4 linked regions of the Elephas maximus indicus genome follow. The protein of the gene in region 4 interacts with the protein of the main gene of each other region in a pairwise test. Links are inferred from orthologs where the notes say so. Each region holds a gene or a part of one and is shown on either strand. Other genes may lie near its edges. The genes, in order: TNFAIP8, LZTFL1, FTL and SDCBP.

Region 1 (7,841 bases), on a different chromosome or scaffold from region 4:
CTGAGGATGATAGGAGAAATGCAGAGTCTACAGCCCTAACCAGGCTCAAAGCACAAATCCTTCCCACATGTGAGGAGAAAGATCTAAAGCCACCTTTATTAGGTCATGGAAGTCGTATAAGACTTTCAAGGGTATTAAAAAAAAAAAAAAAGTAAATAATACAGGAAAAGATGAGGAAAGCCTCAAAATCAGATAGAAGAAAACCACTTTTTATACTAAGAACTCTTTTCTTTCCCCTGACCTACATTTTGTATGTACAGATTTATCCTCATATCAGCAGTGTAGAAATAAAATATTGATGATATGACGGCTTTTGTGACCTGAGGTTCCTATGACCTAGAAGCCACAGGCATATATAACTAGTTTACAGAGATGCTTAGTTCTTTTCACTGTGGAGAAATTATAACATTCGTGAGTATAAGCAGAGTACGTGATACTGTCAAAATCAACCTCACCTCCTGCTTCCCAGTTCTGCTGGTCTTCTCATGTGTTGTCTTGAAAACTCGCTGTCCTCCCCTCTTCTTAGCAGACTCCTGGGTATGTGTGAGCAAAAGGCCCAAAGGCCCATGCTTTTTTTTTTTTTAACAGTTTTGTTGAGGTATGGAATCCTGTGTGATACAAACAGTTAATGTGCTAGCCTGTGAAGTACAAGGGTAGAGGTTTGAGTCCACCCAGAGATGCCTCTGAATAAAGGCCTGACAGTTTACTTCCGAAAAATCAGCCATTGGAAACCCTGTGGAGCAGAGTTCTACTCTTGACACACACGAGGTTGCCATGAGTCAAAACTCCATAGCAACTAGTTATTGAGATGTAATTTCAGAGGAGATTTTTCTGTTCCCATGTGATAAAGTTTATTTGAGAGATAGTGTTGAAACTTTCCTGGGAGCCAAGAAGACTTGGAAGGTTGGATTCTTTAGATCAGTATGCTCCAGGTCAGCAGGTCTTATTTACATGTGTGACACATGTACATTTTTGATAATAGAAACCATCAGAGTCTTAGGCAGCATTTTAACTCTCCCATTTTGATACAGAAGGTAGGAGATTGCTTGTAAGAAATGAGTAAGAGTTCAATACAGTATTTAATGCAGCTTGGTATTAAATGAGAAGTGTTGCTGGAGATTGCTTGTAAGAAATGAGTAAGAGTTCAATACAGTATTTAATGCAGCTTGGTATTAAATGAGAAGTGTTGCTAACTTATTTATTATCTTGTATCAGGCAGTCCATAATACATTGTTGGTATGACTTCCAAACATACTGCTAGATGAATGATGTTGGCATGTTTCTTGTACATACTAGAGTGAACAGGTCCCATCTATAAGAGATACAAATCTTTTACAATGTAGTGAACCACTATTCACTGGGGCTAAAAAATAACACCCTTTTGAATAAAAACACTGCAAAGTCAAGATGAAATGGCCAACCTAGTATAAATCAGAAGAGTAAGGAAAGAGAATGAGCTGCCCTTTGGCATCTTTTGAGGGGTGGGAGCATGGAGCAGTATAGTTTGCCTGTGGCAGATGGCTTTGAGGTTATATCTGACAACAGAGGAGTGTCCTTATCCACACATAATCTTTTAAAATAAGCTGAGCATTCATTGCTCTTGAGCTAGATAAGGACATTCTTCCTCAAGGTGACTGCTAGATTGTATTTAAATACAAAAGAAGTTTTTCTGTAGGTTTCCTAAGGATTGTTGATGAATGTTCAAAGCTCAGCTGACCTGTTAAAATGACAGTAAATTGAATTACAAGGCTGACTTGGCGCTGGAACTGTTCATTCAGCAGGTGTTCTCCTTGGCTAACCTGAGAAGGGCTGGAGATCTTTTTGTGAACCTAGTGTAAAGCAAGCAAAACAGCTGAGACAGGGAGATTACAGCATTTATTTTAACACAGCTAATGTGGTTTGGGCACATTGGACTTGGAAAAGGACATTTAATAAATACTTCTTATGGGGGTACACATTGGACTTGCAAAAAGGACATTTAATAAATACTTCTTATGGAGATACTGGAAACCCTGGTGGCATAGTGGTTAAGTGCTACAGCTGCTAACCAAAGGGTCAGCAGTTTGAATCCGCCAGGCGCTCTTTGGAAACTCTGTGGGGCAGTTCTACTCTGTCCTATAGGGTCACTATTGAGTCGGAATCGACTCGACAGCACTGGGTTTAGTTTTTTGGTTTATGGGGGTACTTTCTAAAAGGAGAGAATAGAAGCGAAGCCTGCCTGGGGGGTGGATCAGGTGTGAAATTTTAGTTGTTTAAATTTCAACTCCAGGGCATCAAGTTTTTGTTTTTGAAATTTGCATAATCATCACCTTGAACCAGTTTTCAGTATTAAACTAATTATGGATCAGTGGAAGCTATTTATCTGTGTAGCACACAGCCCTGGTGGGATCTTGAAGGGCTGCTCAAGGACATCTGAACTGAGGTAGGGAGGGCAAAGGCAGATGCATGAGGGTAGGACAAGAAAGGCCACTTCTGACTGGCAGGCCTTGCTGGAGAGGTATTGCTTTGTGTTCAGAATGAGTCTCAGCTCAGGTAGGAATCATGTCTCCCCCATAGGTCTGAGGGTACTGAGTGCAAGGTATACATCTTAGCAGCCCCTGACTCAGGATGTCTGGCAGAGGGGACTATGCAGCTAACTGCCACTTGCAGAAAGGGGGGCCTGTTAGCCTTTGATGGCAAGGCCAGTTTCCGGGAGGCTCTGGAATACTGATATTTTCCAGATGTTTCTCTTCTTCTCTCTTCTCTGGCTAGTTAGCCCTCTTCTCATCATCCTGCTTTTTTTCAGAGAATTTGAGATAAAGTTTTGCTTAGAGTCTTAGGCCTGTTAGAATCACTCAGCAATATCTAGGCCTCATGTCAGTATTTATAATAACCTTCACTGCTTGTGAATAGCATAAACACTCTTTTCAGTTCAAATCCAATAGTAATTTATACTGAAATAAAACTTGAGCGTCTTTTACGTGACAACGAGACTTCAGCTTACTTACTTTGGACATGTCATCAGGAAAGACCAATCGCTAGAAAAGGACATCGTGGTTGGTAAAGTAGAGAGTTAGTGAAAACAAGGGAAACCCTCAAAGGGAGTGACACAGTTGCTACAACAATGGACTCAAACGTACCAGCGGTCATAAAGATGACACAAAGACAGCAACATTTTGTTCTGGTGTAGATAAGGTTGCCATGAGTTGGAGCCCACGCGAAGGCACCTAACATCTGTTATAAAAAATTAACTTCTAGTGCTGCAGTGTTGTCAGTTTCGACTCCTAGTGACCCTATATGACAAAATAGAACTGCCCTATAGGGTTTTCGCACCCCTGGGTTTGGTGGTTTTTTTTTTTTTTTTTTTTTGGTGGTGCAGTGGTTAAGAGCTTGGCTGCTAACCAAAAGGTCAGCAGTTCGAATCCACCACCTGCTCCTTGGAAACGCTATGGAGCAGTTCTACCCTGTCCTATAGGGTTGCTGTGAGTTGGAATAGATCCAAGGCAACGGGTTTTTTGTTTTGTTTTGGGGGGGTGGCTAATAGGGGTTTCTTGGCTGAAATCTTTACAGAAGCAGATTGCCAGGTCTTTCTCCTGCAGAGCTGCTGGGTGGATTCAAACAACAGCCTTTTGGTTAGCAGCCCAGGGTTTAACCGTTGCAGTGCAGTAGTTAGCGTTAAACCCTGTAGTCCTTTATGTTTTTCAAATAACCTGTATTACCTTATTTAATACCAAGCATAAATCCGTGAAGTAAGTAATAATACTATTTTTATCCTCATTTTACAACTGAGGAAATGGAGGCTCAGAGATCCTCTTTACTTAAGGTGATACAAATAATAAATGGCAGAACTAAACTTTAATTCAGTCTTTGAATCCGTATCGTTCGTCTATTCTTTTCACTAAATTTACCTTAGTGCCTCTACTCTTTTTTTTTTTTGAGAAAAAAAAGCGTCTGGAAATTAAATTTATTAAAAGAATATGACTCTGCTCACAATTTCCAAAGCGATCTTTCAGATATGTAATTTGAGGACTGTTTGCCTTAGGTTGGTAATAAAACCACTGCTCTGCTACAAAACGCTTCCCCATATGACAGGTATTTCGGTGGCAGCTATTGTCCCCGGTTCTCAAATGGAAAACCGAGGTTCCAAAAGCTAAGCTGACTTTTCGGTGGGCCGGACCCCGGGGCGGGACTAAGATCGGTTCTCAAGGCTCTTTATCCTCTTTATTCCATCAGCGTTTCTAAGGCTTGAATCGCCGCCACACCCCGCACCCCCGCACCGCCGCCTCTGGCGTTTTGAAGCAGTGTATCACTAGTTGCTAGTGCGCAAGAAGGTATGGGTATGGTGCTTTATGTGAAGGCCACCATTTAGTGTAACTGCTGAGCAATTACTACTGCCTGGTTGGGGTCTGGGTAAGAATGCTTGCCAGGGGCTATGCTGAGCAAGCGGTCCCATCTGCATTTTCTGTACAAAGGTAAGGATCGCAGGCCCCCCGACGTTCTAAAGACCTGCTCTTGGGCTGGCTCCCAGTTCCTTGTGAAGCTGGTCCTTAGGTCCCCGTCGACAACATCCGCATTACTTTCTTTTGCAAATCATGAATGCAACCGAGCAGCTTTAAAATCTATCATTTTTGGCATGTAAGACCCAAGACAAGGGAAGTCAGATGGGCGTCGAAAAATGTAACCCAAAGATGCAGAAGCACTTCATTTGCTGCGTGTAGATATATATATATATATATATTTTTTTTTATGTAAAACTGCAGCTAGCACTGAGACTTGTTATCCCTTTATCGCATGTCTCTTTCTCTAGCGCAGCCGATTTCATTTATGTTTGTCGTTTGTGGACTGGCGCCCCTGGCCCTGCCTCTTGGGCGTCATCGGGCTGTGGTCCTGGCCGCAGCCCCACCTGCGTGCGCCCAGGCCGACCCAGCCGCGCCAGGTTGTCTCCGCCCAGCGACGGGGCCCGGCGCGCAGCCCCGGGGGCGGCTCCCGCCACCCAGCCGAGACGCGATTCGTCACTGTTGCAGAACTTTCCCCCTGAAAATCCCTGCACCAGAACCAGCCCTCCCGCCCCGGGGAGGTTTTGATTTAAGTGACTTTCCTTCCTTTTATTTTCTGTTGGGTGCGACTGTAAGTTTTGGCTGCAGAGCGAACTTGCAGCTCCTCCGAGTACATGTCTACGGTAATCGCCTCTGCAGCCGGTTACCCTGACACCATGCACTCCGAAGCAGAGGAATCCAAGGAAGGTACGATTGTGGTTTCTCTCGGGGCGGGCCAAGTTTTGCTGAGGAATGTGGAGGAAGGGAGAGTTGGGAAATGGATGGGAGTTTTAAGTGCTATAGGTACTTTGTCCGATCCCTGTGCCTTCGCAGCCAGGTTGGAGATGGACATGCGGAGCCAGATACCCATCTCGGCTCCGTTGTCACCAGGCAGCCGTACAGAGGGGAAGGGAGGAAAAACCCACAAAAGGCTGCTTTTTAGATTTCTCTGGGAACAAAACAGCCCGAGTATTGACTCGAAGAATGCAAAATGTGTGAAAGGGCTGCCTGCCTGCATCAGGACAGCGGAAAACTGGATCTCTTCGAAGAGCCCGGAGAGTTGTGGGTCCCTTGAAAAGGGGTTTCAGAAATCGAAAACGTGTTTCCGGCCGAGAGGAGAAGCTGACGAAAGGGGAAGACGTGAAAAGGACTTTATTTGGGGAATGGGATTTTCTTTTTCTTTTCGCCCCCTCCCCCCGCTGGTTTTTCAGCTGTGAGTTCATTTAGGGGGGGCAGGGGACTCGAGGAGACCTGAGAGATATGAGGGGAGCCTTGTGCAGCTTGAAACTGAGGAGAGTTTGTCTGTTTTTAACTTTGCCAAAGCAAAGGGTTTCATTTACTCCTAACAGAGAACGGGTGACAGGGCTGGAAAAGTTCCAACCCAAACACAATTATACGCTGGTGTTAGTCTGGGGAGTTTATTTGTGTGTGAGTGTTTGTATGCTTTGTTTCCTGAAATTTTATGTATACAAAAGTCCTCTTGTGATGGTGGGGGTGATTGGGGAAAACAGAGTAAGAGGGGGAGACTGTTCAAGATTGTGAAATTCCTTTTCTTTTCAAACAGCCTCTTGAGAAGCTGATAAATTTTAAGTCAATCACTGGGGCTCCTGCAGGGCCAGGAGCAGGAAGGAGCCCCATCACTTCTCCATTTGGTAGACATCACGTAGGGAGGGCACTTGAAACTTGTTCCCTTTGGTCTCTTACTTACTTTCTGTGTAAGTAAGACTCTGTGTTTCATAATGTAGCCTCTGTGGGCTGACATTTACTTTGTTATGCTGTGTGAGGGAAATAGTCAATAAAAAGGAAGCTTGGTTAATAGGAATATGGGGCTAGCATGAATGAAAAATGACAGCCAGGAGCATTGTTTTCGAGCTTGGTGTGGGGCTTGGTGGATGAATGTTTCTTTGCTGTGGCCTCCGTCTTGATGGAGCTCCGTGCTAGTGGACGCTTTTCTTTTCTGAGTCTTTATACCTACAGTTCAGAGTAAGGCAAAAGTAGTTGAAGGCAAATAGGAACTGAGCTGAGAAAATCCAACGGTCAACTTTTGTATGAATGGCAAGTAGCACTTAAATGGGAGTATTCTCCCAGGTATATTTTTCCTCTCTTGGTAAAGAGAGAGTGGGGAGACAGCAGACAACAGTATCCTGAAATATGTACTGTACATTCATCTAGCAACATCCACAATCTTCCTTCGTTTCCCAGCTTTCTGGTTATAAGTTTGGAAGCGGCCAGCAAACTGGAGCGTGAAGAAACCCATTTAATAAAAAAGGGGAAGACAGTTAAAAGGAGGATGTCAACAGTTTCCAGAGGATGGTGCTTCCTGAGGAGATAGGCCAATGGCCACATTTTTAGCATTTAGTCGCTTCCTGTTGAGTAAAGCTACTTAATTGTGAAATAGTAAAAATGAATGACAGTTAAGATCTGAGGACATTTCTGGTGCTGAGAACCAGAGCTCCTTGGTCCTGGTCATTATATCTGTGGTATCATAAAGCAAGGAAGCCATTGTCAGGAGGGGTTGCTTTTTGAAGACTTGAAGGTAGGAAAAGAGTAAGGGTTGAGCAGTGAGTAAGTTCAGTTCTCTATTGCCCATAGTAGCCGTTCCCAGGCACCACCTCTCCCTGTTCTCTCATGCCTCACCAGGCCTGCTGTTTCACAAAGAAAATAGTACCAAATAGACAACTCCCTCAGCTTTCTCCTCCCAGACTGACAGACTCACTGTCACCCATACTCACCCCTTGATGTTTGTGGAACAGGTGTTGCACCTTCTGCAGAAGGCCACTCCTTTCACCAGCTCCTCCCTAATCCCTACGCCCCTTACCGCATCAGTTGGCCCTTTGTCTTTTCTGGCTTCTTCCCTTCTGCAAACAGACATGCTCAAGCTCCTCACTTCAGGGCCTTGGTACTTGGCTCTTCTTTCTGGCAGGAATATCCTTCTCTACCTCACCCCCTTTTACTGGACAGCTCCTTGGAGAAGCTTTCCCTGAGCCTCCAACCTAAACTAGGATATCTGTTGCCCTCTCTTACTGCACCGGTTCTTTCATCTCTGGTATCCACCACATTTTTTAATTATATGTTACCTTGTTTAACACGTCTTCTCCTCTAGACCACAAGTTTTTGATGGAAATCATGTCTGTTTTATCCCCCACTGTAGCTCCAACACCTACACGGTAAGAGGTGCTCATTCAGCATTTGTAGGATGAGTGAATGATCTCCATTCTGAAGATAATCCTCAGCACGTTTTCCACTTTGAGCCATTGCCTTATCCCTGTCCTATAAAGTGAACCTTTTTTTTTTTTTTTTTCTTTAAGTGCTCTTGCATGATCTCTA
Region 2 (7,223 bases), on a different chromosome or scaffold from region 4:
AACCACTAAGGCCAAAGATGAAGAAATTGAAGATTTTTACCAACTTCTGCAGTCTGAAATTGATCAAACATGCAATCAAGATACATTGATAATTACTGGTGATTGGAATGCAAAAGTTGGAAACAAAGAAGGATCAGTACTTTGAAAATATGGCCTTGGTGACAGAAATGTTGCCGGAGATCACACGATAGAATTTTGCAATACCAATGACTTCTTCATTGCAAATACCTTTTTCAACAATGTAAACGGTGACTATACATGGGGACCTCACCAGATGGAATACACAGGAATCAAATCAACTACATCTGTGGAAAGAGATGATGGAAAAGCTCAATATCATCAGGCAGAATAAGGCCAGGGGCCGACTGCGGAACAGACCCTCAACTGTTCGTACGAAAGTTCCAGCTGAAGCTGAAGAAAATTAAAGCAAGTCCACATGAGCCAAAATACAACCTTGATTATATCCCACCTGAATTTAGAGACCATCTCAAGAATAGATTTGGCACATTGAACATTAATGACCAAAGACCAGACGATTTGTAGAATGACATCAAGGACATCATACAAGAAGAAAATACAAAGTCATTAAAAAGATGGGAAAGAAATAAAAGCCCAAAATAGATGTCAGAAGAGACTCTGAAACTTGCTTTTGAACATTGAGTAGCTAAAGCGAATGGAAGAAATGATGAAGTAAAAGAGCTGAACAGAAGATTTCAAAGGGCAGCTCAAGGAGAAAAAGTAAAGTATTATGATGACATGTGCAAAGAGCTGGGGATAGAAAACCAAAAGGGAAGAACAGGCTTAGCATTTCTCAGCTGAAAGAACTGGAAAAAACAAAAAATTCAAGCCTCGAGTTGCAATACTGAAGGATTCTATGGGGAAAATATTAAACAACTCAGGAAGCATCAAAAGAAGATGGAAGGAATACAAAGAGTCACTGTAACAAAAAGAATTGGTTGATGTTCAACCACTTCAGGAGGCAGAATATGATCAAGAACCAATGGTATTGAAGAAAGAAGTCCAATCTGCACGAAAAGCATTGGCAAAAGACAAGCCTCCAGGAATTGATGGAATACCAACTGAGATGTTTCAACAAACAGATGCAGCCTAAGAGGTGCTCATTCACTTATGTCAAGAAATTTGGAAAACAGCTACCTGGCCAATCGACTGGAAGAGATCTATATTTGTGCCCCTTCCAAAGAAAGGTGATCTAACTGAATGTAGAAATTATCGAACAATATCATTAATATCACACACTAGTAAAATTTTCCTGAAGATCATTCAAAAGTGGTTGCAGCAATGCAACCACAGGGAACTGCCAGAAGTTCAAGACAGATTCAGAAGAGGACCTGGAATGAGGGATACCGTTGCTGATGTCAGATGGATCCTGACTGAAAGCAGAGAACACCAGAAAGATGTTTACCTGTGTTTTACTGACTATGCAAAGGCATTTGACTGTGTGGATCATAACAAATTAGGGATAGCATTGCGAGAGTGGGAATTCCAAAACACTTAATTGTGTTCGTGAGGTGCCTGTACATAGACCAAGAGGCAGTCGTTTGAAGAGAACAAGGGGATACCGCATGGTTTCAAGTCGAGAAAGGTGTGTGTTAGGTTTACATCCTTTCGCCATACCTATTCAATCTGTATGCTGAGCAAATAAGCCAAGAAGCTGGACTATATGAAGAAGACCGTGGCATCAGGATTGAAGGAAGACTCATTCAGAGCCTGCCATATGCAGATGACACAATGCTGCTTGCTGAAAGTGAAGAGGCCTTGAAGCACTTACTGATGAAAATCAAAGACTTCAGCCTTCAATATGTATTGCACCTCAACATCAAGAAAACAAAAAAATCTCACAACTGGACCAATAAACAACATCATGATAAACGGAGAAAAGACTGAAGTTGTCAAGGATTTAGTTTTACTTGATCCACAATCAATGCCCATAAAAGCAGCAGTCAAGAAATCAGACAACTTATTGTGTTGGGCAAATCTGCTGCAAAAGACCTTTTTAAAGTGTTAAAAAGCAAAGATGTCACTTTAAGGACTAAGGTGTGCCTGACCCAAGCCATGGGATTTTCAATCACCTCATAGGTTGATTTTCAATCAACTCATAGGGTTGCTATGAGTCGGAATCACTCGTCGGCAGTGGTTTTTCATAGGCACGCAAAAGCTGAACAATGAGTAAGGAAGACCAAAGAAGAATTGATACCTTTGAATTATGGTGTTGGTGAAGAATATTGAATATACCATGGACTTCCAGAAGAACAAACAAGTCTCTCTTGGAAGAAGTACAACCAAAATTCCCCTTAGAAGCAAGGATGGTGAGACTTCATCACATACACTTTGGACATGTTATCAGGAGGGATCAGGTCCTGAAGAAGGACATAATGGTTGGTAAAGTAGAGGGTCAGTGAAAAAGAGGAAGACCTTCAATGAGATGGATTGACACGTGGCTGCAACAATGGGCTCGAGTACAACAACGATTGTGAGCATGGTGCAGGACGGAACAGCGTTTCATTCTGTTGTGTATAGGATCACTGTAAGTCAGAACTGACCCGACAGCACCTAACAACAAAAACATGGCACTGAACTCAACTTTTTAGCTTACCCATTGCCTTCAGAGATCAGATCTGGTGGACGTTTTTGTCTTCTGAGCCTGCTGAAATGCCCACTCAATGGACTTTGCCCACCCAGCTCCAAGCCTCTGCTACTTATAATAATCTGTCAGGTCCTACACCTTGGCCTTTCTAGCGCAGCATTTCTTAACGAGCGGATTGTGATCACTCCTGGAAGGTCAGTAAAAACTGTAGATTCCAAGGTCCCAAATTAGACTTCAGGGGGCATCAGATTTCTGGGATGAGGCGAAGGAAGATATTTATTCAGCAAACTTCCCTGATAATTCTGGGCATAATAATTTGAAAATCCGGCTCTCTGTGAAACTGACACCATTTGTGGTTTTTCTTTTTCTTTCTTTTGCTTGTTTTTAGGAAAGTGGTGAATTATGGGTCCAATTGTGTCCCCAAAAAATGTGTTTTGTAAATTCTAACCCCTATCGACTTGATGGCAACGGTTGTTTTTTGTTTTTTGCTTTTAACGTACCTGTGGTTATAATCCCATTTGGGAATGAGTTTTGTTATGTTAATGTGGGAGTACTAGCATAGGGTGGGTTTTAAATCAATCTCTTTTGTGATATGAAAAGAGCAGGCTACGCAAGCAAGCAAGCAGAAATGAGGCGGATACATGGCACATGATCGCCAAGGAATTTAGAAATAGAAGCTGAAAAGAGACAAACAGAGCCTTCTAGAGCCAGCACCCTGAATTCAGAGACCTGGTTGTGCAGTGGTTAAGTGCTCGGCTAACTGAAAGTTTGGTTCTTCGAACGCACCAGTCGCTCCTAGGGAAAAAGATGTGGCAGTCTGCTTCTGTAAGGATGTACAGCCTTGGAGACTCTATGGGACAATTCTACTCTGTCCTATAGGGTCGCTGTGAGTCGGAATCAGCTAGATGGTAGTGGTTTTTAGCCTCCTAAACTGTGAGAAAATAAATTTCTGTTGTTAAAGCCACCCACTTGTGGTATTTGTTGTAGCATCCCTAAATAATTGAGAAAACCAAACCAAACCCGTTGGGTGGAGTGGATTCCGACTCATAACGACCCTATAGGACAGAGTAGAACTACCCCATAGAGTTTCCAAGGTGCGCCTGGTGGATTCGAACTGCTGACCTTTTAGTTAGCAGCCGTAGTACTTAACCACTATGCCACCAGGGATTCCAGATAACTAAGACACGGTGGTAAATTAGAGATTTTGTAGCAGGGCTGTGAGAAGAAAAATGCTGGGCAAGGATAGGGGAGGGTCGTTCAAAGCTCAGGCCTCTATCCAGGACCCTGGCAGGGCTGGGGATGTCTGCCACCATGGGGGCGCCAGGCGGCGGGAAATGTGCCACAAAACCTCAGTCCAGAACAGGAGGGAGGATGAAGGATACCCGAGCTCATCAGGGCCCCAGGCCTCGCCTCTCTTCCCGTTACCCTTGGCAACAGCCGCCGGCTCCCAAAGGTAGCGTGGCATGAAAAGGCGGGACTTCCTCCTCTGGAAGCGAATGCGCATGCGGCAGTGCGCTCGTCACGCCGTACTTCCTGTCGCGTGATCTTGAATGCCAATGAGAATGCAAAACTTCAAGACCACGTGCTCCGTTTCTAATAGCAACAGGAGGCTTCCAAACAACCCGCCTTCCCCTCACTTTTATTTGTGGTCCAGCCACCCTGGACGATCCCGGGTTCGGCCTTTCCTGCTTCCGGAAGCTGGTGACTCCAGCCCGCTGCCATGGTGAGTAGCCCACCCGCTAGCGCCGCATCGCGCCAAGGAGAGAGCTGCGGCTGGGGCTGGAGGCGCGGAGCGGGTGGGCCCCGAGCGATGGCATGGCCAGTGGCGGGTCTGAGTCCCGTTTCCGGGCCTCTGCGAGTACGGAGGCTGTGACAGGCACGGGGGAGGAAGGGATCGGCTAACCTCGGCCGAAGCCCGTTCGGAATAATCCTGGCTGAAGCCTTCTCCAGCAGCCTCGGTCCGCAGCGTCGCCTGGTTCCTGGCTTCTGCTGGGGGACCCGGGCCAAGTCGCGCTTCGCAGGTGACGGGTGAAGAGGGCTGAAGGAAACCGCTGCCAGCAGAAGGCCCAGGGCGGGATTCGCACTCCACTCCGATGATGCTCCAAGTTGTTGTTCTCTTTCTCTGTCTTACACACATGCACACACACACAGCACCCCCACCCCCGTACCCACCTTCCTTTGGTTGCATAAACAAGTTAACTAGCCGAGTAGGAAGAAAGTGATTGAATCCAACTTTCCACCCATTTTGCAGCTGAGGAAACAGGTGATGTTTCCGTTGTTGCAGTCCGTTCAGAAAAGACCACTTTTTCTTGTATGCCGCTAATCCACATATCCCACTTATTCCCCCAGCGGATAAGCGTGCCAGTTTAAATAGCACTCAGAAAGAGCAATGCACAGTACCGATGTGTTCAGAAGAAGGGGTGGAACCAGGGTTGGGGGCACCACTTAAACGGGCTACTGAAATATCCCCTCAGCAACCAGAATTCTATTGAGCTCATCTACTTTCAAAGCAAGGCGCTCTGGTGGCGCAATGGTTAAGCACCGGGCTGCTAACTGAAAGGTTGAGGGTTTGAACCCACCAGCGGCTCTGCTGGAGAAAGGGCCTGGAGATCTCCTGCAAAAATTACAGCCTGGGAAACCCTGTGGGGCAGTTCTACTTTGTCACATGGAGCCACTGTGGGTTTCAGTCGACTGGATGGTACACAACAACACTGACTAGGAGCTGAATGTAAAGCTGTGAACAAAACAGACTACTGCATACTCTCCTTGAGCTTAGTGCCTGTTCCACTCATTCTCTTGATTTCCCCAAAATATCATGAGAAAAAGTGTAAAAAAATGATGACGTTAGAACAAATTTACATCTGTTCCTTTCTGTCTTCTCTCATCCCTTTCCACTAACAACAGGCTCGGTTTTTTCCTTAGTAAACCGCAGATGATAATAATTACACAAGGGTTGTTTAAACAACAAGATCATGCATATACAATAAAGAGCACAGTACCTGTAAAAATGTTAAGCACTCAGTGTATGGTAGGTTTATTACTCTATGCTCATTTTTATCATTACAGTTTCTTCCTTTTCATTGTGAAATTGTATCTGGCTTTGTGGGTATGGTTCAGAGCAGGAGACCCCCCTGCCACCATCACCACTTCTTAACACAATTTCAAGACACTAACTTCCTGCTCTGATGGGATTTCTTGCTCTATTTTCAGCTCTTTCTGATAATTTAATAAAACATTTCTGCAACAACATTTTTAAAAATTCTGATTTTCCTGTTTGGATACCTCCCATTGTTTCTAAATATTTTAGAGCTGACCATATCTCTCTTTCATTTAACAAATGAGGAAACTGGTGTTGGGGAGGTGAAGTGACATGGTGATGGCCACACAGGTAGATAGTTATGGAACTAGCCTTAAACCTGGCTTTTAACCCAGTGCTTTAGCTCGCATCAGCCTCTTCCTTTTTCTCTCATAATGACCTGAACCCTGTGCACATACGGGGAAGCAAGATTTGTGAATGGCCTCTTCCTAGACTAATGCTGTTTTTCCTACTGAACTCAGCTGTCCATTTCTGCTCCCTTCCCTTGTTCTTATTTATTTTAGAGGGACTTCTCTGTCCTTTGTCATAAATTTTATCTTTCTCGGTTTGAGTAAGTTCTTTTTCTTCTTGGTCCTGACTGAACCTGTTGCCATCAAGTCAATTCTGACTCATATCCACCCTATAGGACAGAGTAGAACTGCCGCATAGAGTTTCCAAGGAGCGCCTGGTAGATTCAAACTGCTGACTTTTTAGTTAGCAGCCATAGCACTTAACTGCTATGCCACCAGGGTTTTCCTAGGACTGGTAACTGTCCTTGGCAAGAGAAAATAATTAACCGATAGGATTTGGCCGTGTACTCTGCACAAGGCACTGTGCTGGGTGCTGCGGGGTGCAAGTGATGACTCCAGGCCTCACAAAGCTTACCATCTAGTTGGAGCAGCAACACCTGGAAAAAAGCGCACAGATAACTAATAGTACAAGTCCTCATCCGTCTGTGGTGGTGCCAGATAAGTAGCAGAGATCAGTGTTTTTGAAGGAAGGCATGACTAGAGCTACTGGGGTGGGTTGGGAGGCTTCACAGAGTAGGGAGAACAGATTAGGCCGCGAAGGCTGGGGAGGAAGTCAGTGGTGGAAGGGAGCATGCCGGCAGCTGGTGAGAGTCAGTTGTCTGCCTCCCTTCTCAGCTCAGCATCGGTCACATCACACACTGGGAGTAGTCACACTAGGAAAACCAGCAAGTGCCACAAATCGGAGCTCCTCCTCCCACCCCCTCAGTGAACCAGATATTCAACATTTGCCAGCACACCACTGGGTAGGATTCAGAGTCTCAAATAGGAATGGAGAGGCATTTTTAAGCAAGGATCAGGGTAACATGAGTACAAGTCGAGGCAGGAAATTTTAAGTTGTGTTTCAACGCTGATAAGCAGACTGGTTTGGCTAAAGTTGAGTGTTTATATAGTAGAATCCTGGGCAACAGGGTTAGAGAAAGTTTCGAGGTGTCGGGGGCTGAAGATTGTAGATTTAATGCTATAGGCAATGAAGAATGATTGAAAATTTGCATTTTGTGGTTTACATTTTTTT
Region 3 (6,244 bases), on a different chromosome or scaffold from region 4:
CAATAGTTTTCAAGGCTGTGACCTTTCAGAAGCAGATATCCAGGCCCATCTTCCAAGACATCCCTGGGTAGGCTCAAACCACTGACCTTTCAGCTAGTAGTTGAGCAGCTAACTGTGTCGTAAATTTCCCCATATAATGAGGATAATTATTTCATCTACCCCCAAGGATTGAGCCAGAGATAGTAGCTGTTTAAGAGGTTGGCACAGAGCCTGGCCCCATAATTGCTCATTAAGCAACACCTGTTTCTAATTACTTTTACTCCCTGTAACAATGCCTGGGTCTGCCACCAAACCCTCCCTGGAGTCTGGGCTCTACCATCAAGGAGAGAAAGTTAACAGCCAAGGCAAACAGAACTGAAGCTACCCCGTACACAACCCCCTGGAAAAAGTCCTGCCTTAGAATATAAGATAATGAAAGATAGGGCCCCCTCTCCCTGCCAGCACAGCCTGAAGACCTGTGAAAACAGATTATAACTCCTTTTCCACACCATACACACAACACCAGTAGCTGCTGCAAAAAGCTTTATTGTTTCCATTTGGTCCACGGCTTGGGAGAGGGCCCTCCAGGGTGGTTCAGATGCTGCCTAAAAGCTAAAGGGAGAAATTCAGGCAAAAGCCTGATGAGGACAGAAGATTGCAGAGGGGCCCTCACAGGAGGCTCTGGAGGCTCCTAGTCATGCTTGAGGGTGAGCCTCTCAAAGAGATACTCGCCCAGCCCAGCCTGGGGCCCGGCCAGCCTGCGGATGTTGGTCAGGTGGTCGCCTATCTTCTTGATGAGTTTCACCTCCTCATCTAGGAAATGTCTCTCCAGAAAGTCACAGAGCTGAGGAATATGAAAGGAGAAATAAGAAACGCAGTTCCTGAGAAAGAGGGAGGCAAATGTGGTCCTCAGAAAGCAATCTGCCCAGTAAATCAAAGAAGAAAGCAAGCTCAGACTGTAAGGTTAAACGCCAGGGAAGGTCTGAGGAGGGGCTGCAACGGATGAAGGCGGTACCTACATGCGGGTCTGCCTGGGCAGAAGCCACCACGTGCAGATCCAGAAAGGCCTGGTTCAGGGTCTTCTCCAGGGCCAGGGCAGCTTCCATGGCGTCCAGGGTATTACCCCACTCATCTTGGGACGGCTTCTGTACAAGAAAAAGACGACTCACAACTATTCACACATCTGGCAAACACCTAAAACCTACATTTCCCAGAAGTCCCTGAGGATAATGGACCTAGCCTGCAAGGATGCTTGATCTATCACGCCAAGCCTCCTACAACTTTGCCTCCCATGAGACCACCCAGTAGCCTGGCCGGCCACTACTTGGGAAAGCACCTTTACTTCGCCCAAAAACAAACCCAGACAGGATCGAACCCAATCTCCTAAGAATCCGCTACAGCGCCTACAGAGCAGCTGTCCAAATGCCTTGTGCGGAAGGCCTGCTGGGAGATGTAGTCCGTGGCCCACACGCCACTTACCTGCACATCCTGGAAGAGGGCGCGGCCGCCACGCTGGTTCTGCAGCTTCAAAAGAGTCTCGGCACCCTCGCGCTTCTCCTTCGACAGCTCGCGGAAGAAGTGTCCCACGCCTTCCAAGGCCACATCGTCGCGGTCGAAGTAGAAGCCCTGCGGGAGGTAGAGGGAACAAAGGTTAATGGAAGGCGAGGCCAGGCGAAGGACTCCGCCCTCTGCTATCCAACGGGACAAAGAAGGTCCGCGCGTGCGCACAGGGCCGGAGGTGCGCAGCTAGGGAAAACATGGGCCGGGGACGTCTCGGGGACCCTTACCAGAGAGAGGTAGGTGTAGGAAGCCCGCAGATGCAGGTTGACAAGGCGGTTGACGCCGGCCTCCGCTTCAGCGGAATAATTCTGACTGATCTGAGAGCTCATGGTTCGTCGACGATTAGGAGCTAACTACAAAAAACGGTGTTAGCTGGTCCTGGAAACAGGGGATGGCCAAGAAGATGGTCCCAGAGGTTGCGCGTAGGAGACGAGGTTGAAAGGTAGCGCGAAGCTGGAGGTAGGGCGTCCCCGGGTCTGCTCCGTCCAAGCACTGTTGAAGCAAGAAACAGATCCACGGGACCACCGAGCGAGCTTAAGGAAGGTGGGGGCCAGGGCGGCGTGTTTTATAGCATGCGGCTCCTCGCAGGCGGGGCTTCAGGGCGATCTGTCGACCAGTCCGCGGTGGCGGGAGGCGGGACTTGAGCCCGCGCCTGACCAATCCAGAACAGATAGGCGCCTCCCCCCTTCCCCCCAGCCCCCCCGGGGTTGGGGAGTCACGCGCTTGGAGCGTGAGACTGTTGTGAAATGGGAATGCGGGGAGGAAGTGGGTGCTAGGCGGGTTCGGTGGGTGCAGGGTCCTGGGGCTTATTCGCAAAGTCGGGGGATTCTGGGGGCAGCTCTGGAAGATGGGAGGTTTATGGGAACACTGGGGAGCCCTGGGCGGTGATGATCCTGGGGTCTTGGGGATGTTTCAGGGAAGTAGGATTCTGGGCTTGTCTCTGAAAGCATGGACTCTTTTAGAACCCTGGGGCTTCCTTAGAGGTGCAGGGGGGGTTGCTTGTGGAAGATAAGGGGTTTCCCGGTCATTAGGAAATTTGGAAGGCCCCAAGAAGAGTATTTCTGGAACCCTGGGGGTCTCGCTTCGCAATGAGCCGGAATCGACTCGATGGCACTGGGTTTTGGGTGGGGGTCTCGCTGGGTTGTGGGATAGGAGAGCTGTTTCCCTAGTGTTTACCCAAAAGTGGAAGGTCTCTCTAGCTTTAGAGTTGGATCTAAGAAGTCTGTTTCTTTGGAGGCCTTTCTTGGAAGCTGGGGGAGGTCTCTAGGGCCTTCAGAGGAATCTGCAAGTTGTGAAAAGCAGTGGTTTTGGAGCCTTGGGGTTCAAGGGCTGGGGTGTTTCTGGAAATCTAGGCACTATTTTAATTCGAATCCACCTGGCAGGCAGGTGAAAAACCTGGTGGTCTGCTCCCCGCAAACATTAAAAAAAAAACCAAACCCATTACTGTTAAGTCCATTTTGAGTCATATCTACCCTATAGGACAGGGTAGAACTGCCCCATAGGGTTTCCAAGGCTGTAATCCTTATGGAAGCAGATGGCCAGGTATTTCTCCCACAGAGTGGCTAGTGGGTTCTAACCACTAACCTTTCATTTAGCAGCCAAGCACTTTAACCACTGTGCCAACAGGGCTCACATAGGTTCACTATGTTTTGAAATTGAGTCAATGACACTTAACAGGAACAGGGACTTTTTGAGAGGTAGGGGGACTCAGGAACCCTCAAGAGCTCTTGGAATCTTGGAAGAATTGTCTGGGCTTTCAGGATACCTTGGGGCTATTTTAAGGGATGGCGAGATTACATCTCACATACTTTGGGCGTGTTATCAGGGGGGATCAGTCCCTGGAGAAAGACATCATGCTTGGTGAAGTAGAGGGTCATCGAAAAAGAGGAAGACCCTTAAGGACATGGATTGACACAATGGCTGCAACAATGGGCTTAAGCATAAGGATTGTGAGGATGGCACAGGACCAGGCAGTGTTCTATTCTGTTGTACACAGGGTTGCTATGAGTTGGAAGCAACTGGATGGCACCTAAAAACAAAACAGCAGTGTTTTTCTGGATGCTGAGATTGGGGTGTGTGTAGGAAATAACGTTAGAGCCTTGGGGGGGGGGTCTCTTGGGCTGCATTTCCTGGGAACTATTTTGGAGGCTAGGAGGCTTGGTGGCTCGGTGGTTAAGTGCTCAGCTGCTAACCGCAAAGTCTGTGGTGGAACCCACCATCCCCTTGTTGGAAGAAAGATGTGGCAGTCTACTTTTGTAAAGATTTACAGCCTTGGAAACCCTATGGGGCAGTTTTACTCTGTCCTATAGGGTCGCTGTGAGTCAGAATCGACTTGATCGTATTGGGTTTCTTTGTTTTGGAGGCAGTCTAAAGACTGTGGAAATTCTCTCTGGCCCTGAAGGGACCTCTCAGAGGTAGTTGGGTGTCCAGCCCAATATGCACTACTTCAGGGTCTCTCGGGAAACTAGGAGAGCCTGGGGACCTAGGAGGAGACTGTCTTCATTGTACATACATTTTTTTAAGTGAGCCAGGCTCATACTGGGACTGGGAAGGCAGAGCTGACTCAAAGCAGGGCCCTGCCCTCAAGGAGCTCCCTGTTGAGTACCATCAAGACAGGTTTTGACTCATGGCGACCTCAAGTGATAGAGTACGACTGCCCTATAGGGCTTTCCAGGCTGTAATATTTATGAAAGCAGGGTCTTTCTCCTACGGAACTGCTGGGTGGGTTTGAAAGGCTGACCTTTCTGTTCGCAGCCAGACGCTTAATCACTGCCCAACCAAGTCTCCTGGTTGTGTAGAGGAGGAAGGTACAAAGACAGCAACTGGACCCTAGATGAGTCGGTAATGGAGGTAGCTCATGTGGCATAGGAACAGAAGTCACAGGGGAGGGGTAAGAGGTCAGGTCTGCTTGGCAGAGCAGCCACGCCAGCCAGTGCAGGCGGGGTAGCCCTTCACCCAGGGGATCTGTGGATGCCAAGGCTGGGCCAGTATCTGGGGTCCCTAAGGGGCGTGTATAGGAGCCCTGGTGGCACAGTGGTTAAAGAGCTCACCTGCTAACCAAAAGGTGATCCCTGAGTCAGAAGTGACGCTACAGCAATGGGTTTGGTTTTGGTGTTAAGGAGCCCTGGTGGCACAAAGTTTAAGTACTTGGCTCGTAACCCAAAGGTCAGCAATTCAAACCCACCCAGCAGCTCTGTGAAAGAAAGACCGGGCAATATACTCCCATAAAGATCTAAAGATCATAGCCTAGAAAACCCTATGGGACAGTTCTACTCTGTAATATGGGGGTAGTTATGAGTTGAAATTGAGTCCTCGGCACCCAACAACAAAGGCCGTCTGGGTGAGTGGCTATGCTGAGTCATGGTGAGCTCGGCACAGGAAGGGGACCAGGACTGAGGTGGGAGGGCCCCCCTCCCCTGACCTCATCCCCTCAGGGCCAGCTGCAATTGGTCTGACTGAGACCCTCAGAACCAGGCCTGTGGCCCCCTCCCCCAAGATGTTTTTGTTTCCACGTCATACTTTATCTCAGTTCCCTTATGTCTTTCCTGGAGATTCTTCCTGTGGCCATAGCGTTCCCTCTCTCTGGGTCAGGGGCTCAGTCTCAGCTCATATATCTCCGACATTTCTCACCTGACTTGGTGTCTGGCTTGGACTTAGTGTCTCTGGGGAGAGCACATGGGGGAGGGGGGAGGGTAAGTGACCTGAGCCACCTAGTTAGTCAGGCCTAGTTATTGATTGACCAGTTGTCATTCCTCAGCCTAAAGACCTTTAGCCCCAGGCAAGCCCCACCTATGGAAAGGGGATTTTGAAAGTGTCCACAAGTGGAGGGAAAGGAGGGGCTGAGACAGAGAGGATCAGAAGAGGGGTAGAGACCATAGGTTGCAGGAGAGAAAGAAACAGAGAGTGAGGGGGCAGAAACCCAAGTGTGAGGGACACAGAAGCCTAGAGAGAGAGGAACAGAGACCTAGAGAAGGGGAAAAGATCCAGAGAGGGGGGGACAGAGACCAGAAAGGGAGAGACCCAAGAGGGGGACAGAGTTCCAGAGAGGGGAACAGAGACCCAGAGAGAGATGGGGACAGAGACCGGGGTCGGGGGGAGAGACCCAGAGAGAGAGGGGAACAGAGACCCAGAGAGAGAGGGGAACAGAGACCCAGAGAGAAGGGTACAGAGACCCAGAGGGGGGACAGAGACTCAGAGAGGGGGAAAGAGACCTGGGGGGGACCAAGACACAGAAGAAGGGGGACAGAGACATGGGGAGGGGGACAGATACTCAGGACAGAGACCCAGAGAAAGAGAGAGGGGGACAGAGACATGGGGGTGGGGGGCACAGATACTCAAGAGAGAAAGAGAGGGGGACAGAAACTCAGAGAGGCAGGGGAAAGAGACCTGGGGGAGGGACCAAGACCCAGAGAGGGAGAAACAGAGATAGAGAGAGAAAGACAGAGACCCAGGGAGAGGGGGACAGAAGCCTAGAGAAAGGGGGACAGAGACCCAAAGAGAGAAAGGGGGGCAGAGACCTAGAAAGAGAGGGGCACAGAGACCCACAGAGAGTGGGGGAAAGAGACCTGGGGGGACAGGGACCCAGAGAGAGAAGGATCGAGACCCAGAGAGAGAAGAGGAAAGAGACCCAGGGCAGGGGGGCAGATAGACAGGGATACAGAGACCCAGAGAGGGGTAGGCAGAGACTCAGAGAGGGTGAGAGAGA
Region 4 (7,790 bases):
AGCACTGGCTACTAACCAAAAGACCTGAAATTTGAATCCACGGAGATGCACCTCAGAAGAAAGGCTTGGCGATCTACTTCAAAAAATCGGCCATTGAAAACCCTGTGGAGGGAGCACAGTTCTACTGTGACACACATGGGTCGTCATGCACTGGAGGGCAACTGTTTTGCTTTTGTTTTTGTTTTGTTGTTTTCCTTTGTACTTCGAGGGTAACGTGGAACATTAGACTTTTGCGTGCAGTAAGTTCTTTGGTTAGTTGTATCCTGCTGTGGTAATTGTTAACCAGTAAACCAGTTGCCATCCAGTTAATTCCAACTCATGGCAACCCCATGTATGTCAGAGTAGAACTGTGCTCCATAGATTTTTCAATGGCTGATTTTTCAGCAGTAGATCGCCAGGCCTGTCTTCCAAGGTGCCTCTGGGTAGATTCAAACCTTCAACCTTTCAGTTAGCAGCTGAGTGTGTTACCCATTTGCACCACCCAGGGGATCCATGGGAATTGTTAGATAGGTTATATTCTTATTTGTGGATATAGTTTTGTACCAGACCACTGAAAGTCCTGAGGAAAGTAAGATGTTCTGAGAAATAACTACATTAGTGTTAGTAGCTAACCTATGATCATAGGGCTTAAACTGGTATTATGTTTATCTTATTACATCTATGCAAATATTATTCAAAGGTGAACCATAGAGTTCTATGATTACAATCTCCCTTGTTTTTTCCCCAGTGCTGTGTACTCTAAGTTCTTATCATTAATTCATCCCCCACTCTACCAGTGCGTGAATTCCTCACTTTGCTCAAACATATGACTCTTCTTGGAGCGGCTCCTCCTAGAACATCCGTCATCCAGTTCCAGTTCCAGTCAGTATGGTTGCTTGTTAAGCTTCTTGTGTGGTGGTCATCGTGGGATCGCCTTTTAACATCATCCTCTCTCTCCTTTTGCCTCCTCTTGCACTGGAGTCCCTGTGTTGTGGGAACCTCCCCTCCTCCCCATTTTCCTTTTTCTTGTATTCTTATTTTGGTGGAGCAAATGCTCCATTAAGTTCCTGAGCAATAGCTCATGAGAGGTTGTTTTTGTTTCCTAGTGCTGCAACAGAAATACCACAAGTAGGTGGCTTTAAAGAACAGAAATTTATTTTCTTACAGTTCTGGGGGCTAGAAGTCTTGGCTGTGTGGATGCCTTCCTTGTAGGGGGGACCAGGCAATCCTTGGTCCCTTGACTTGTAGACAATTCTCATATGGTTTCTGTCTCCACCAAGACACCCTCCCCCACGTGCATATCTCTTTGCTCTTTTTATAAGTCATAAGTGATAAGATTCAGGACCCATCCAGTTTGGGTATGACCTAATTAACATAAAAAAGAAAACCATATTTCCAAACAGGATTATACCCACAGGTACATGGGTTAGGATTCCAGCACATATTTTAGAGGGGATACAATTTAATCCATAACACATTTAGGGGGACACAATTTAATCCGAAATAGAGGTAAATTTTTAATCCTTCATATATATGAAAATGCCTTCATTCTATCCTTACACTTTGATGATATACTTTGGATCAGTATAGACTTTTAGGTTAGAAATCATTTTTCCCTTTACTTTTGAAGGCATTGCTCATTGTCTTCTAGCTTCAGGTATTTCTGTTGAGAAATTGCATGCCATTCGGAACTCCGGTCCTGAGTATAAGACTTTTTTTTTTTTTTTAACCTTATTAACTATAAGGACCTATTCTTTATCTCTAATGTTCTAAAATTTCACAGTGATGTGCTTTTGTGTGAGTCTTTTTAAAAATTAATTGTTTTAGGAACTCAGTGCATGCTGTCAGTCAGGAGGCACCTGTCCTCCAGTCCTCGTGACAGTCTTGCATTACTTGTTTATTTTTTCTTTAGTTTCTCTTCTGCATTTTGGATGTTGCACCTCCTGGACTGATCCTTGATCTTGATATTTCTCTTCTATTTCCCGTCTCCTTGATTTTGGTTTCTAAAAGATTTCACTGACTTTATCTTCCAAACTTTCTATGAATTTTTTATACTTTCCTGTAAAATATAGACATTTAAACATAAGGTTTTGAATGTTCCTTGCAAATATCATCGTGTTCCTCTTTCATGCATGTACTATTTTGTTTATCTCTGAAAATACTGATAGATTTTTTTATATTGGTTTTTTTATCTGTTTCATCCCATTTCCTTTTTTTTTCTATTTGTTTTGATTTCTATATTTCATGCTAGAAGCTTCCTTTAAGTTTCTACTCTTCTTAGCTCCTATATCTGCTCATTTCAGTGTGCCTCACCTCAGCAAACGTGCCAGCACATTTAATCCACATTCCATCAACCACCAAGTCTTACTGTGTCTTTGTCCTAGTATTTCTTGAGGTTTTCTGCTTTTCTCCATTTGCACCGTAATGGTTGTATCTACATCACTGCAGTAGTCTCCTACAGGACCTTCCCACGTCCAGGGCTTGTCCTCACATCCGGTCCATCCTCTAAGCAGCCCAGAGTGATCTTTTTCATTAGCTTCTGTAAGGTCCTGCCTACTTGTCCAGCTTCATCTGATGCCATTCCTTCTCTTACCCTGTGTTGCCACAAGGGCCTTTCAGCTCCCGGAAGGAATCAAGTTTCATTTCAACTTCCCTTTGCAAGTGCTATTCCCTTTACCTCGAACACTTTCCTCCATTTGTCACTTGGCTAATTTTTATTCGTCAGCTTAAAAGCCACATCTTCAAGGGAGCTTTCCTTGAACTCCTAGACTAATGTTGGTTTCCTTGCAATATCTTTCATAGTCCCCTGAACTTCTTCAAACACCCACCACGACTCTATTTGTGTAATTATTTTTTAATGTCTGTTTTATCAGCTGGAAACCCTGGTGGCATAGTGGTTAAGTATGATGGCTGCTAGCCAGAAGGTCGGCAGTTCTCATCCCCCAGGCGCTCCTTGGAATCTCTATGGGGCAGTTCTACTCTGTCCTATAGGGTTGATATGAGTTGGAATCGACTTGATGGCAATGGGTTTGGGGTTTATTTTATCAGCTATACCATAGCTCCCTGAGGACTAAATTTTCCACCTTGTCATTTATTATTATCCTGATTTTTATCAGTTTTAATACAGTGGCATGAAATAATTTAACTAGAAGAACTGCTTGTCAAGAATTCATATTGGAGTAGAGTACATCTACGGTAACTATGATTAGATGCTCGCAGATAACCTGTGCCTCAGTTGTGTCCTCCTTAAAAGAGGTATGTTCTTGTCTACCTCATAGATTGATGTTAAGGACCCTAGGGGAGGGGGAAACAACAAACCCATTGCTGAGAGCCGGTTCTAACTCAAAGTTAATGCTATACGGTTTCCAAGGTTATAAATCTCTAGGGAAGCAGACTGCCGTATCTTTGGTGCTTTCAAACCGCTGATCTTTCTGTTAGCAGTGGACTGCTTTAACCCTGCGCTGAAATGTTACCACGTGGAAACCCCAGGCTCTGTTTGGCATGAGTTGAATTTGCCGATAAATGAGAGATCGAGGTGGGAGAGCAAGAAGGCAAACTTTATTTCCTTGCGCCAGGAAAAGGAGTCAGTCGCAGCTGCTGCCACTAAGACTCTTCTCTGAAGCCGAGGGGAGAAGTTACTTTTAAGGGGTTTAAAAGTAGGGAGTTCATACAAATTAAGTCGGCAACATTCTTAATCACACTACGCAGGCGCAATTGGGTTTACATACAACTTCTAAGCAAAGAAGGATTTTAACGCAAAGTCGTGGGGGCGGAAGGCAAGCGAATGAAACAAGGATTTTAATGCAACACTGGGGGAAGAAGCCAAGCAAAGAAAAAGCTTATCCTGATGCATAACTGTTTGAGGTTTTGTCTTAACCGGGACTCCACGTTAAGGACCAAGTAAGACCATATACATGAAGTTCTTATAACGGTGCCTGGCGTATAATAAGCATTGTTTTCATTCTGTTTTCGTGTTAGGATACAGTTATGACTTTTGCGCGGTACCACACATGCCCGCATCAGCCAGCGGACGTTAGCTCAGGTGAGCCAAGAGTAACAAATGCCACAGCGAGCAGCGCAGCAGAAGAGCGGCAGCAGTGGGGACGCGGGAGTGAGAGGACCGCTTCCGAGCCTGCGGGCGGAGCGACGCGGCGGGGAGAGAGGGCTGGGCGGCGGCGAGGAGGGCGTGGGCTGGCCGGGAAATGGGGGACGCGTGGGGCCCCCAAGCCTCTTTCTATTGGAGGCGACGGGAACCAAGGGAGCGGAGAGAAGCGCAGTAGCGAGGGGGCGGCATCTGTCCCTTGACGCAAGGGCCTTGGGCATCAACAGCAAACGGGGGGAAAGAGGAGGCGCGCAGAACCGCCGGCGGCCGGCGGACCTTGTGGGGATCAGCAGGCCGCCGCGAGGCCCCGCCCCCGGCCTCCCACCGCCCCTGCATCGCGACGCCCCGCCCCCGGCCTCCCACCGCCCCTGCATCGCCCCGCCCCCGGCCTCCCACCGCCCCCGCGACGCCCCGCCCCCGGCCTCCCACCGCCCCTGCATCGCCCCGCCCCCGCGACGCCCCGCCCCCGGCCTCCCACCGCCCCTGCATCGCCCTGCCCCCGGCCTCCCCCCGCCCCCGCGACGCCCCGCCCCCGGCCTCCCACCGCCCCTGCATCGCCCCGCCCCCGGCCTCCCACCGCCCCTGCATCGCCCGGCCGTCGGCCCGTTACCAAGGGGACCGGTCACCTGACGGCGGCGCCGCGCCTGCGCGGGCGGAAGGCGGGGGCGGGCCGTGACGGGCTTGTGGGCGGCTCCTCGGGTGTTCGCGGTGCGGCTCGTCTGGGGTCCTGGAAGTCTGTTCCTGGAGCCGAGGAAGCGGCAGGCGGCGGATCCCTGGGCCTAGGTGAGCGGCTCTGGGGGCGGGGCGAGTCCGTCGCGCGGTCCGGGCGCGGGGACGAGGCGCGGCGGCGCCGAGCACCTAGCGGAGAGCGTCCGGGGCCCCGGTTCCGGGAGGTGAAACCCTTAGCCCACCCCTTAGCGCCTTTCCGCGCCCCGGGCCCGGGCGAAGTTGGCGGGCGCGGCGCCTTCGGGGTCGGCCAGGTCCTCCTCGACCCTTTTTGTTCCTCCCGGTGAGGTCTCCAGGGACCAGTGAAGAGCGAGCCGCTGCTCGTGACCCGTCGCGGGCTTCGGTTCCTGGCTCGGACATAATCTGCCCTTGGCGGAGTCGGCAAGCCCGGGGTTTGGAGGAGGAAGGAGGTGTTTGTTTAGTGGGCGAAGCCTGGCTTTCGGGAAGGGATGGGGGAGAGGCTGTGCGCTGATTTCTGGAGAAGTTGGACGAAAGGAAGCCGCAGCCGGTAGGGTGTGTTCACAAGGAAATAGCCCTTGAGATCTGGTGACTCACAGCTTTCCTTTCAGGATTTCACTGTAATAATAAAAAAGTGAAACGTACGGATTTGGAAAGTTTTCTTGTTCACCAAAGTGGAATTACTGAATCATGGGGTCTTACAATGTGCCGATTTTCGAGGGAAATTTTTAGGTCTGTGTAGTCTGTATATATTACCTGCGCGCAAATTTACTGTTATTTTCTCCGTTATAAAAGTAATTACTTAGAAAGTACCCTTAGCTTGTCACACTCTTTAACATCCACTGCTTCCAAGGAGACAGTTGATTGGAAAGGAAAATTACATCGAAAAACAGCTGCAGTCTTTGTAAGTTAGATTTACCTCAGATCTATGTAAGTGATTGGTTAAAACTTAAATTTGTCCAATCTTTTCATTTTTCTATTTGAGATTAAGAACAAACAGCCCAAAATGTGAGTGCCTCATTTTCTCTGTTTCCAAATTAGTTCTGTAAGCTTTTGTGCTTTGAAGGGTAGGTAAATATTAGAGGTCAAGTGGTTTGTGCCACAGAATAAAAATAAGAAAGCGAACAACTTTTAAAAGCTTCAGGAAGTAATTATTCAATTGTGATCCCAGCTTAACTTTGGCAGCATTAATTTTTCTATTTTGGGCGTTATGAGAGAGGATATAAAAATCATTGACCAAAAGCGGCTGAATTTAGCAAGAGTTGGCACTTAAATGTACTGTTCAGTAAAATAGTTCCTTAAAATGAGCGAGACTCAACTTTTTTTTCCCCAAAAATTAGGCACATTTTGGGGGGGAGTAAATGCCCGGAGTTTCTAAAAAGAGGCTACGCCATACAACTTTAAAATATTTTTTACATCTCTTCGTTGCCGTGGAGTCGATTCTGACTCGTAGTGACCGCATAGGACAGGGTAGAGCTGCCACACAGGGTTTCCAGGGAGCCACTGGTGGACTCGAATTGCTGACCTTTTGGTTAGCAGCTGAACTCTTAACCACTGCAACCAGCAGGGCTCCTTCAGTTGCCTTCACAATGACTCTGACTCCTGGCGACCTCGTGAGTGTTAGAGTAGAGCTGTGCTCCATAGGATTTTCAATGGCTGATTTTACTGAAATCGATCGCCAGGGCTTTCTTTTAACGTGCCTCTAGGTGGACTTCACCGGACAGCCTTTTGGTTAGAAGCTGTGTATGTTAATCTTTTGCACTACCCAGGGACTCCCTAGTTATATTAAGCCAAAAAAACCAAACCCATTGCTGTCCAGTTGATTCTGACTTATAGCGACCCTATGGGACAGAGTAGAACTGCCCCCATAGAGTTCCCAAGGAGCGCCTGGTGGATTTGAACTGCTGACCTTTGATTAGCATCTGTAGCACTTAACCACTACGCCACCAGGGTACTAGCATTTATTAATTTATTTATAAGTGTTGCCAACTTTTTTTGTGTGTAGGTTTATTTACTTTTTTGAGAAAGAAATGCAGTCACTTGGTTCAAAATTTAACTAAAAAAGGTATGAAGTCTTCGTCCATCTGTGTCCCCTTGCCAACCATTTTCCCGTCTTGTAGGCAACCAACTTTTAAAAGTTTCTTAGGTATCCATCCAGGTATAGTTCATACCTCTGTAAGAAAGCGTGTTTAAGTATACTTTCCCCTTCCTTTCAGTACCAATGTTAGCATACTATATACATTGCTCTACACTGTGCTGCTCTTCTTCTAGTGTCTTCATGCTCAAGTGTGTTGTAGACTGAAAACCTGAATGGATATTGCTGGGTGGAGCGTATCGGCATTTATAGTTTTGATGGATACTGACAGAGGCTGTACTAGTTTACACTTCCACTAGTAATGTTTGAGAGTGTTTCTCCCTTACTGTCAGTGTATTGTCAAACTCTGAATTTTTGCCAGTCCAAATCATATGGGTAAGAAGAAATTATTGTACTCAGAGTAGACTTCAGTGTGGCCGTAATTTCTCAGCAGTTAATCATCAGAATCTCCCTGGATATTTATTAAAAAGACAAGTTCCTACGTCCTTCCATGAAGTTTTTCATTTACTAAATCTGTGTCAGCCTGGGAGACTGTTTTTAACTAGTGCCCCAGGTAATTCTGATGATTAGCCAAGTTTGAGAAACATTGCCCTGGCAGGCCGTAAAGGACTTTATCAGAGTGTGTTCCTTGACACCTCTTAGTTATCTAGTTCTGCTATGACAGAAATGCCACAAGTAGATGGCTTTAACAAACAATTTTTTTTTCTCACGGTTTAGAAGGCTGGAAGTCTGAATTCAGGGTGCCAGCTCTAGGGGAAGGCTTTCTCTCTCTTGTCAGCTCTGGAGAAGGGTCTTTGTCTCTTCAGCTTCTTTTCTTTCGAGATCTTTGTGTGGCTTGGCATTTCTCTTCCCCCATCTCCTCTATTAGCTTTTTTAATTTGTTTTATATCTCAAAAGAGATGGATTCAAGGTACACCCCACACTAATTCT

The links.
Region 1: the proteins of SDCBP (region 4) and TNFAIP8 interact in binary tests that used the Homo sapiens proteins (3 or more experiments, as listed by UniProt). The two-hybrid records come from large-scale screens. The link is inferred for Elephas maximus indicus from reciprocal best matches to the Homo sapiens genes SDCBP and TNFAIP8.
Region 2: the proteins of SDCBP (region 4) and LZTFL1 interact in binary tests that used the Homo sapiens proteins (3 or more experiments, as listed by UniProt). The two-hybrid records come from large-scale screens. The link is inferred for Elephas maximus indicus from reciprocal best matches to the Homo sapiens genes SDCBP and LZTFL1.
Region 3: the proteins of SDCBP (region 4) and FTL interact in binary tests that used the Homo sapiens proteins (3 or more experiments, as listed by UniProt). The two-hybrid records come from large-scale screens. The link is inferred for Elephas maximus indicus from reciprocal best matches to the Homo sapiens genes SDCBP and FTL.

Annotation. Positions count from the first base shown.
Region 1 is NC_064820.1:139,564,497-139,572,337, reverse strand, and holds the start of TNFAIP8 (tumor necrosis factor alpha-induced protein 8), read left to right. Parts: upstream 1-4,821; 5' UTR 4,822-5,149; coding exon 5,150-5,222; intron 5,223-7,841. UniProt on the Homo sapiens protein: Acts as a negative mediator of apoptosis and may play a role in tumor progression.
Region 2 is NC_064838.1:50,174,716-50,181,938, reverse strand, and holds the start of LZTFL1 (leucine zipper transcription factor-like protein 1), read left to right. Parts: upstream 1-4,206; 5' UTR 4,207-4,325; coding exon 4,326-4,328; intron 4,329-7,223. UniProt on the Homo sapiens protein: Regulates ciliary localization of the BBSome complex. Together with the BBSome complex, controls SMO ciliary trafficking and contributes to the sonic hedgehog (SHH) pathway regulation. May play a role in neurite outgrowth. May have tumor suppressor function.
Region 3 is NC_064829.1:99,378,022-99,384,265, reverse strand, and holds FTL (ferritin light chain), read right to left. Parts: upstream 2,089-6,244; 5' UTR 1,869-2,088; coding exon 1,767-1,868; intron 1,606-1,766; coding exon 1,459-1,605; intron 1,125-1,458; coding exon 999-1,124; intron 824-998; coding exon 671-823; 3' UTR 510-670; downstream 1-509.
Region 4 is NC_064833.1:85,377,126-85,384,915, reverse strand, and holds the start of SDCBP (syntenin-1), read left to right. Parts: upstream 1-4,771; 5' UTR 4,772-4,864; intron 4,865-7,790. UniProt on the Homo sapiens protein: Multifunctional adapter protein involved in diverse array of functions including trafficking of transmembrane proteins, neuro and immunomodulation, exosome biogenesis, and tumorigenesis.